2 linked regions of the Oryctolagus cuniculus genome follow. The protein of the gene in region 1 binds, or shares a complex with, the protein of each later gene. Links are inferred from orthologs where the notes say so. Each region holds a gene or a part of one and is shown on either strand. Other genes may lie near its edges.

Region 1 (4,156 bases):
TTGTGAAGTAGCCACCAGAAGCGCCACCTCAGAACCCTTGGCCAGCCCAGCAGGCTGCTGGGTACCCTGGGCCGGGCAATGGCTGCTCACAAAGGGGACAGGGCACAGGGGAGGGGTGACCATGCTCGCCCGCCCCACCCCCACTGCCAAGGTCACCACCCCGGGCAGAAGCAGGCCAAGGCCGGAAGCCCACCTGCAACACTGTGACATCCGGCCAGGGCCCGGAGGAGGCTAACCCTCCCCCATCCCACCCCAGCCCGCAACCACAGCCCAGGAAGCAGGAACTGGGGGGCTGGTGGAGCCCAGACTCGGGGGGCAGATCCCAGTGTCAGGGCCTCGGCTCTCACACACGCCGTGTGCCCCAGGCCGTGAGGACGGAGCACAGCCGCAGGTCCCCGTGGGGGATGCAGCCGAGAGGACTTGGGGAGCACTGTCCCCCAATTCCTGGCACACACAGGTTCTCAGTGGGGGCAGGAGGTTCAGGGGGAGCCTATGTGCCAATCACACTGCGGCAGGAACTGAAACAGAACCCACCCCTTAAATGGGCAGGGCAGAGACAAGGGGGTGGCAGAGAGGAACGGTCCACTTCCCCATGTGGGTGGCTCCCGCGGGGGCTCAGCGATGACGCCCCGGCTGCAGCTTGGACTAAGGAGGAAGTGGGAGTCAGAGGGCTGAGCGGGGGCTCCAGACAGACCTGGGAAGCAGCCCCCAAGCCCCGCCACTCTGCCCACGACTCACTCCTTCTCAAGAAGTCCCCTAAGCCTAGGACACGGCACAGGGGCCGGGTGGGGCAGGCCCGCCCGCTGCCAGCCCCCTACTGCAAGAATGCAGCTGGGGCTGTGCCCACGGCATCAGCACTCAGCCGTGGCGCCGTGGGAGGCAAAGGCTGGTGGTGGCCGTGGCCCCCAGGACTCCCAGCCACACATCACCATGGCCTCCTTGGCTGCTGAACTAGAGGGGGGGGGCTCTTTCAAGGCTGTGCCCACCCCAGCCCCCAGAGGCCAAGTGCAACCAGCGGGGGGCAGGGCCAGGGGCCCAGTCCCTGACACACTCCCCCACTGGCTCCCGCAGAGCCTCACCATCCCGCACTCCCAGGAGCGCAGCCCACGCAGCCCACGCCCAGCAAGGGACCCAGGGATGGCGTGGGGGCGGAGCAGGGAGGCCAGAGCTCTCCGCAGCAGGGGCCGGGGCGGGCGGGCTTGGGTCTGCAGGGTGGGGCCAGGGCTTCCGTCCAGGAGTGCCAGAATGGGGGGACACAGCTTAGCTCACAGGGCAGGGGCTGGTGGGGTATTCCTGGTGGGGCAACCCCCCCCCCCCCCGGCGAGGGGAGCTTCTCCAGAAATGACGGGGGAAGGGGTGGCCGGCCAGGGCCCCCGCGGGCAGCCCCTCCTCGCCTGGCTTTGCGCTCAGCCCAGAGACTCTAGGCTGCATCCCAGGCCAAACCAAGCAGGCGCTCCGGGAAGTCCCCGCCCAGCGGAGTGCTCAGAGCCACTGCGCTCCGCGCTAGGCGGTTGCTCAACTCCGTGCAGCAGCCCCCCGGGGGCTCCTCCCCTCCTCGGCTCTAGAATCCTTACAAGCGAAGGCAGAGTCCAGGGACACGGGACGGTCACACAACAGTCACAAGACACCGTAACGCACCAGCGCGCGTCACCCACCCAGAGCTAAGACACACGGAACACCCAGTGCTGGCGCGGCTGTACAGAAAGCATCGCTGGACACGGGCAGCACCCCGCTCACCCGCACCCACTCGGGCGCGGCCTTCTGCACACGGGGTCACCCTGAGCGTCACGGGGGACAAGGCCACGGTGCGCTGTGATGTGACCGGGCGAGGAGCGCAACTCTCGGAACAGACCCCTGGCCACACGACCAAGCCCACTGCCCTCCCCAGCCCGGCCAGCGGTACACAGCCCCGGGCTAGCCCGACCCGTTCTCCCTCTGCTTAGCCACAGGAGGAAACAGACTGAGACCGCAGCTTGGGAATGGCACAGCTGAGGGCGCCAGCTCCAAACCCCAGCGGTCAGGAGGTCAGGGCCACCTGGGCAGACTCACTGGCCACCCTGGGCCGGCTTTACACCGGCCACAATAGCACCCATTTGTTGTCCGCCTGTGCCCGGCCCGTCGCCAGCTGTCTTATGAGACCTCGTAAGGTGCCCATTTTCCAGATGGGGCATGTTGAGGCTCGCCAAGCCTAGGTCAGCGGTCCGTAAAGCGGACATTTTTACCCAGTGTCTCTGAGACTTAAAAAGCCACGGGTGCGCCTGACTTCCGGGAGCCGTGGCTTCCGCGGCCACTGCCCCCGGGTGCGCCCCTCCAGCAAGGGAGGCGCCGCACGGCTCCGGGCGCCCCGCAGCTCAGAGCGGCGCAGCCTGGGACCCCGCAGCCTGGGACCCCGCGGGCGGGGCGGGTGCGGCTGGGCGTGGGCGCCAGCTCATTTCCCGGCCGCCGCAACCCGGAAGGCTCGGGGGAAGTGACTGGGCAGGGGGCCCGCCGGCCCCAAGTAACGGGGCCACCGCGGCGGCGGCGAGGCCGGGCCGGAGGGGGCGCGCGGCGGGGCGGCGCACGCGGGCCGGAGCCCCCCCCCCCCGAGCGCTCCCGGGGCGCACAGCCGGCTCAGCGCGCCCCTCGCCCACCGCCGCCCGCGCCCCGCACCTCCGGGCCCCCTCCGCCCCCGCGCGCCCCACCTGCGGGCGGCCCCCGCGCCCCCGCCCCAGCCCGAGCCCCTCACCTCGGGGCGCCGCGGCCGCGGACTCTGGGCAGTCGACGCGCCGAGCCGGCTCTGCGCCCCGCGCCGCGCCGCAGCCACTTCCTCGTGGGCGGGGGGCGGGGCCTCGGGGCCGAGCCCCAGGGCCGGGGGCGGGGACCCGGGGCGACGGCGGTCGCGGGAGGCGAGGGCCCGCCCAGCCCTCGGGGTAGAGGGGCGGACGTCGGCGCCCGGCGCGCCCGGCGCAGCTCCGGAAGGGGAAACTGAGGCTGGGGGCGAGGGGCGACTGCCCCCACCTGCCAGGGCAGGAGGACCCCCACAGACTCGGTCCCCGGCCGCGGGCGCCGCCCCTTCGCGGGTGTAGACGGCGCCGGTGCCGCCCTCCCGGGGCAAGGCGGGGGAGGCCCAGGGGCGGGGGGACCGCGCTCCCCGGCGCCGGCTCGGGCCGCTCCAGCCCCCGGTCAGCGGGGCGGCAGGGCTCCGCGCTGCAGGGTGTGGCCGTGCCCCTCGGGCCACTCAGCCCCGGGCACGCTGCGTTCCACGCGTCCGCGGGGCTGGGAGGACTCGCCGTGTCCGAGCGCGTGGGGGCGCCCGGGCTTTCCAGGAGGGCCATTGCTCCCGGCGCGGAGCGGGGGTCCTTAGCCGGGGCCCCCAGCTCGCTGCTCCCGCAGGTTTGTTCAAACAAGGGCTGCTCATCCCACGTTGTCCCCCGCCTCCTTCCTGGACCTGGGACCTGGGACCTGGGACCTGGGACGACCCCATCCAAGCCCGGCCCCCGGCTGCGGGAATCCCACAGAAAACAGGTCAGCCTGAGCCCAGCCCGCAGCCCAGGCTCAGGTCCGCTTCCCGGGTGACCTGCTTTGCTTTAAAGCTGGCTTGAGGGCTGTTTGTTTTTCCTCTGCTGCCCATCCTCAAAAGCCCACCTCCTACTTAGGAACATGGACCTCAGGGTGTCTGGCGCCTGGCATGCGGGAGTGTGCGGGGATGAGCGACTGGGCAGTCGATCCTGGTCCTGCCACTGCAGCCGTGCCCATTTCCACGTCCCTAAGGTGAGGCCGAGGGGCCTGGGGACGGGACACGGACCTCACACTGGGGAGCCCTGGGCCGCATCCCCTCAGCACCCCCCTCCCCCAGGTTAGCGGAGCCTGGGGACCGGAGAGAGAGCTGCTGCTTCCTGGAACCGGCTTCCGCGGGATGGCTGCGGTGGAGACGCCCCGCCCCCTTGCTCAGGTTTCAGGGCTGGCTGAGCTGCAGCCGGGCGGCCTCCTCCTGGTCACGGGACGACGATGGCCAGGTTGCCGGCAGGCAAGCAGGGCAGGGCGCTGGCCCAAGCAGCAGGAAGCCAGGCGGGAAGGCTGCTTGGCACAATCTCCCTTGCGTCTCCGTGGCCATAAGAGGGACGTGTGTCCATCCTCGCATGGGAGCTGTGGGTGCCCGTCTCCGAGATCAGAGGAG
Region 2 (3,640 bases), on another chromosome or scaffold:
GACTGCGCCTGCTCCGAGGGGCAGAAAGCCAGGCTGCCCCTCCTCCGACACACACACACACACAGCACAGACCTCATGCAGCCCCAAAGGGGCAAGAAGAGACTTTAATTAGGGGAGGGAGGTCCACCAGAATCAGGAGAGAAGACAGCGCGCGTGGGAGCAGAGGAGCCAGAGCAGGCACGAGGCCTGGCCAGGCAGCGCTGCAGGACTCACCTCTACCTTGAGCGCGGGCACTGCTCTGACAGACAAGGCCAAAGGGTGGCCCCTCGCAGCTGGGAGGCCACCGGTGGCCACTGCAGCCAAAGGTGCCTGGCTGTTGGGCTGCAGCTTCTAGCTATGGCTGGTGGTCACCCATTCAGCCCTTGTCCCCAGCCAGTGCTGGCTGGCCATCCTTAGGCAGAGCTTAGGAAGCTGGCAGAGGGTCCCCACCACTTCTGCTTGGCCCAAGGAGGCTCAGGAGTTAGAGGGCCAGGGAGAGGAACTGGAGTTGAAACCTTCCTTGCTCCCCGCCTGGGGTGGCACTGGGAGGAAGAACGGTCGCCTTCGGCTCCAGGCCCGCCCAGACCCACGGCGACCAATAAGGTACAATCACTGGGACCAGTCACGGCCACTGGAGGTGGAGGTTGTTTTTTTAAAAAAAAAAAAAAAAAAAAAGACAAAAAGGTTACAGTCTCCTACAAGCACAGAGTTTAAATTTCAAGACGTTAAAAAAAAAACCTGTCCCGGCCCAGGGGACTGAGCATCAGAAGCCAGCCTGACCAGGCACGTGTGGCCTTGGGGCACGTCCAGTGCTGCTTTCTTGCCCAGCTAGCAAGCACACATACCACCCCCTCCCGCACCTAATGCCTGCCCCAGCTCCCCGCAGTTGCCGCCGCCGCCGCCGCCACCGCCGCTCTGGGGAGTGAGTCCAGGACGCCTTCGTAGACACACGCAGAGACACGGGGGAGTCTGAGGGGGAAGGTCGCGAGATCCAGCCCGATGCTTTAAAACTGTCAAGAGAACCAAGAGGCAGTGAATGGTGGTTACCATGGTGTCCTGGCGCACCTGTTGTGGGGCTAGGGGCAGTTCTGAGAGCCGCCACAGGGCTGAGACCAAAGGGTGCGGCTGGGTCCCAGGACACCCTACAGGCCCGCTTTTTGCTAATTCAGCCAGCATTCAGCAGTGACCTGTGGGAACACAGGCCCCAAACCCTGCACCTGACCAGGCAGCGAGACAACAGTGATGAGGCGCCTCCACGGTTTCCTGGGGTTGCACCCTGGAGGCGGCACAAGAGATCTGGCAGCGTCTTGCCTGGTGACCTGAGGCTGCCTTCTCACCTCGGGGCTTCACAGAAAAGTCCCCCGAGGACCCAAGGGAAAAGAGGCCCAAGAGCTGGTACTCTGTCAAGCTGTAGGTCACCCTCCAAGAGCTGGTGCTCTGTCAAGCTGTAGGCCACCCTCCAAGAGCTGGTACTCTGTCCCAAGCTGCGAGCCACCCTCCAACCATGGCAGGCCCTGGAAATAAAGTCTTCTGTCCTCAAGTACCTCTGGATAATACCCATAATAGTCCTGGACATTTTATAGACTGGAGTCTACAATGTGCCCCCGGCTGATCCAGATCCAAGGGAGCACTGTTTGGCACGAGCAGTGTTTACCAGAATATGACGAGCGGCCAACCTCGAACACTGGGGTGCCAGACACAAATGAGGCTCCTGAACTGTTTGGAGGGAGGGCTGCGTGGCTCTCCAGGCGAGGCCCTGTGCATCGAGCGCACACCACACAGGTACTGCCCGCTAGACCCCGCCCTGCCCCGGCCTCCTGACCCGGCCAGATGCTGCGAGGCCATGTGAGCTCTTTGAGGCAGACCTAGCTTCATGTTCTGGCTCCTCCGCTGACTGTTATGGGTCCTTGGGAAGTGACTTCACTCCCAGAGCCCTGGTTCACTCAGCTGCAGAATGGTGGCAACCCTGGGTTCAAAGACTGACTATGAAGTCAGACATGTACACAGGCTTTCTTAGCTACAAAACTCTATGGAAACCGTAGCTGTCGTAAATAACTCAATGTTGAACAAGCAGGCCAACCACTAACTTGGGACAGGAGCCATTCTCCCTCACAGCTGCCTCTCGAGGCCTGCGGGTCCTCTGTGAGCTTGCTCCACACAAGGTGCCTGTCTCCTTCTGTACTCTGCTACCCTGAAAGGCCAACGTTAATGAACAGCCAAGGGAGCTGCAGCCTAGCGGAGAGGTGCAGCGGCCTGCCCAAGTGGGCCGAGGAGCAGATCACACCCAGGTGGTCTGCGGCTGCGCGCTGGCCACCTGCCCCGGGGCCGCGGGAGTAGTTTCCATTTTTAGGAATGAATCCCCGCTGCTGCTGGGCCAGCTCTGCGTGCAGTGATCGGAATAAACACCGAGTTACCATCTAAGGAGCATAGTCAACTCTGAGTGGAACATGTCAACAACCCGAAGACTGTTTAGAAGAAAGAAAAAAAAACAGGAAGGCACATCCCGAACGTCTGAACAAGACCAACGGTGTCCTCAGCTCCTCCGTGCAAACACTGGGGCTGCAGGCCCTTGGGTCAGGAAAGGCGCGGACAACTCCAGCAGGATCTGAACGGCCCAAGTCACGAGAGCGATGAAAACCAGGCCAAGGAAGTCAGACTTTAAGCCTCTGAGAGACGCTGGGAGGAAATATTTAGTCTACAGCGTGACCGACTGTGCAGAGCCCTGGGAAATCCTCGGGGCTGCACTGCTTCGTCTGGGGTGTGACCTAGAACAGGAGAGCACTCTGCAGACACCTGCCGTGTGTGCGTGCCCACGGAGACTGACAGGCACTGCACACACCCCCACCAGCCTCACACGGGTGCCCACCGCGCCCGGCGAACCTGCCACGCACCGCCAATTCTAGAGCTCACCGGGGAACGGGCTGTTGGCAGCACTCTGCCAGCAGGCGCTCACTTCCCCACACCCCCACAGCTCCTTCCCACGTGCCAGGAAACCAGGAAAAGCCCCACAGCTCCTTCCCACGTGCCAGGAAACCAGGAAAAGCCCCACAGCTCCTTCCCACGTGCCAGGAAACCAGGAAAAGCCTACTTACGTTCTTGAGGAACTCCTCCGCCACGATGCGCGCGCGGGCGTTGACCGACAGCTTCATCTCGCTGATCTCCTTGTCGATCTCCTCCATGAAGTGGATCACAAAGTCTACCAACTTGTGCTTGTACATCTGCTCTGTGTGGAAGTTGGTGATCAGGAAACTGATGTCGTATCCCTGGGGAGCAGGACAAGGGAGAGACTGAATGCCGGGCGCCTGGCTGCCCATCCTCGACTTGATCCACAAGCTCTGGACGACAGGGATCTGCTCACAGGCAGCAGCCCGTCAGCTCCGGCGGGTGCCTGTCCTGGATCCAACGACTGAACGCGGCTGACGACACAGCGTCCAGACATCTCCGGAAGGCTCTGTGCGGCACAGACATCTTTGCATTCAGAATGAGTCAGAGGAGAGAGAAGGGGATTGGAAATCTTGTTACAGAAGAAGCCGACAAAACAGAGAACGTGTGCTCCAGAGACAAGACTCAGGAAGAGGATGGGATGGAGGCCTTCTACTACTGGGGAGAAGGGGCATCCAAGAGTATCGAAGAGAGAACCCGGCACAAGGCCAACTCTGTC

The links.
Region 2: the proteins of ARPC1B (region 1) and ARPC4 are in contact, whole or in part, in a cryo-EM structure (PDB 6YW6), measured with the Homo sapiens proteins. The link is inferred for Oryctolagus cuniculus from reciprocal best matches to the Homo sapiens genes ARPC1B and ARPC4. Residues at the interface, in NP_005711.1 of Homo sapiens: Glu9, Pro10, Asn28, Gln54, Thr72, Arg74, Asn96, Arg97, Ala98, Arg100, Ser143, Thr144, Cys162, Trp204, His206, Leu245, Pro246, His263, Ala319, Gly320, Lys326, Asn327, Ser328, Met350; in NP_005709.1 of Homo sapiens: Gln17, Cys21, Leu22, Glu23, Asn24, Phe25, Ser26, Ser27, Gln28, Val29, Glu31, Arg32, Glu45, Leu46, Leu48, Glu124, Gln125, Tyr127, Lys128, His129.

The regions. Positions count from the first base shown.
Region 1 is NC_091450.1:41,604,850-41,609,005, reverse strand, and holds the start of ARPC1B (actin-related protein 2/3 complex subunit 1B), read right to left. Parts: upstream 2,859-4,156; 5' UTR 2,726-2,858; intron 1-2,725. UniProt on the Homo sapiens protein: Component of the Arp2/3 complex, a multiprotein complex that mediates actin polymerization upon stimulation by nucleation-promoting factor (NPF).
Region 2 is NC_091441.1:116,912,188-116,915,827, forward strand, and holds the end of ARPC4 (actin-related protein 2/3 complex subunit 4), read right to left. Parts: intron 3,243-3,640; coding exon 3,072-3,242; intron 990-3,071; coding exon 984-989; 3' UTR 74-983; downstream 1-73. UniProt on the Homo sapiens protein: Actin-binding component of the Arp2/3 complex, a multiprotein complex that mediates actin polymerization upon stimulation by nucleation-promoting factor (NPF).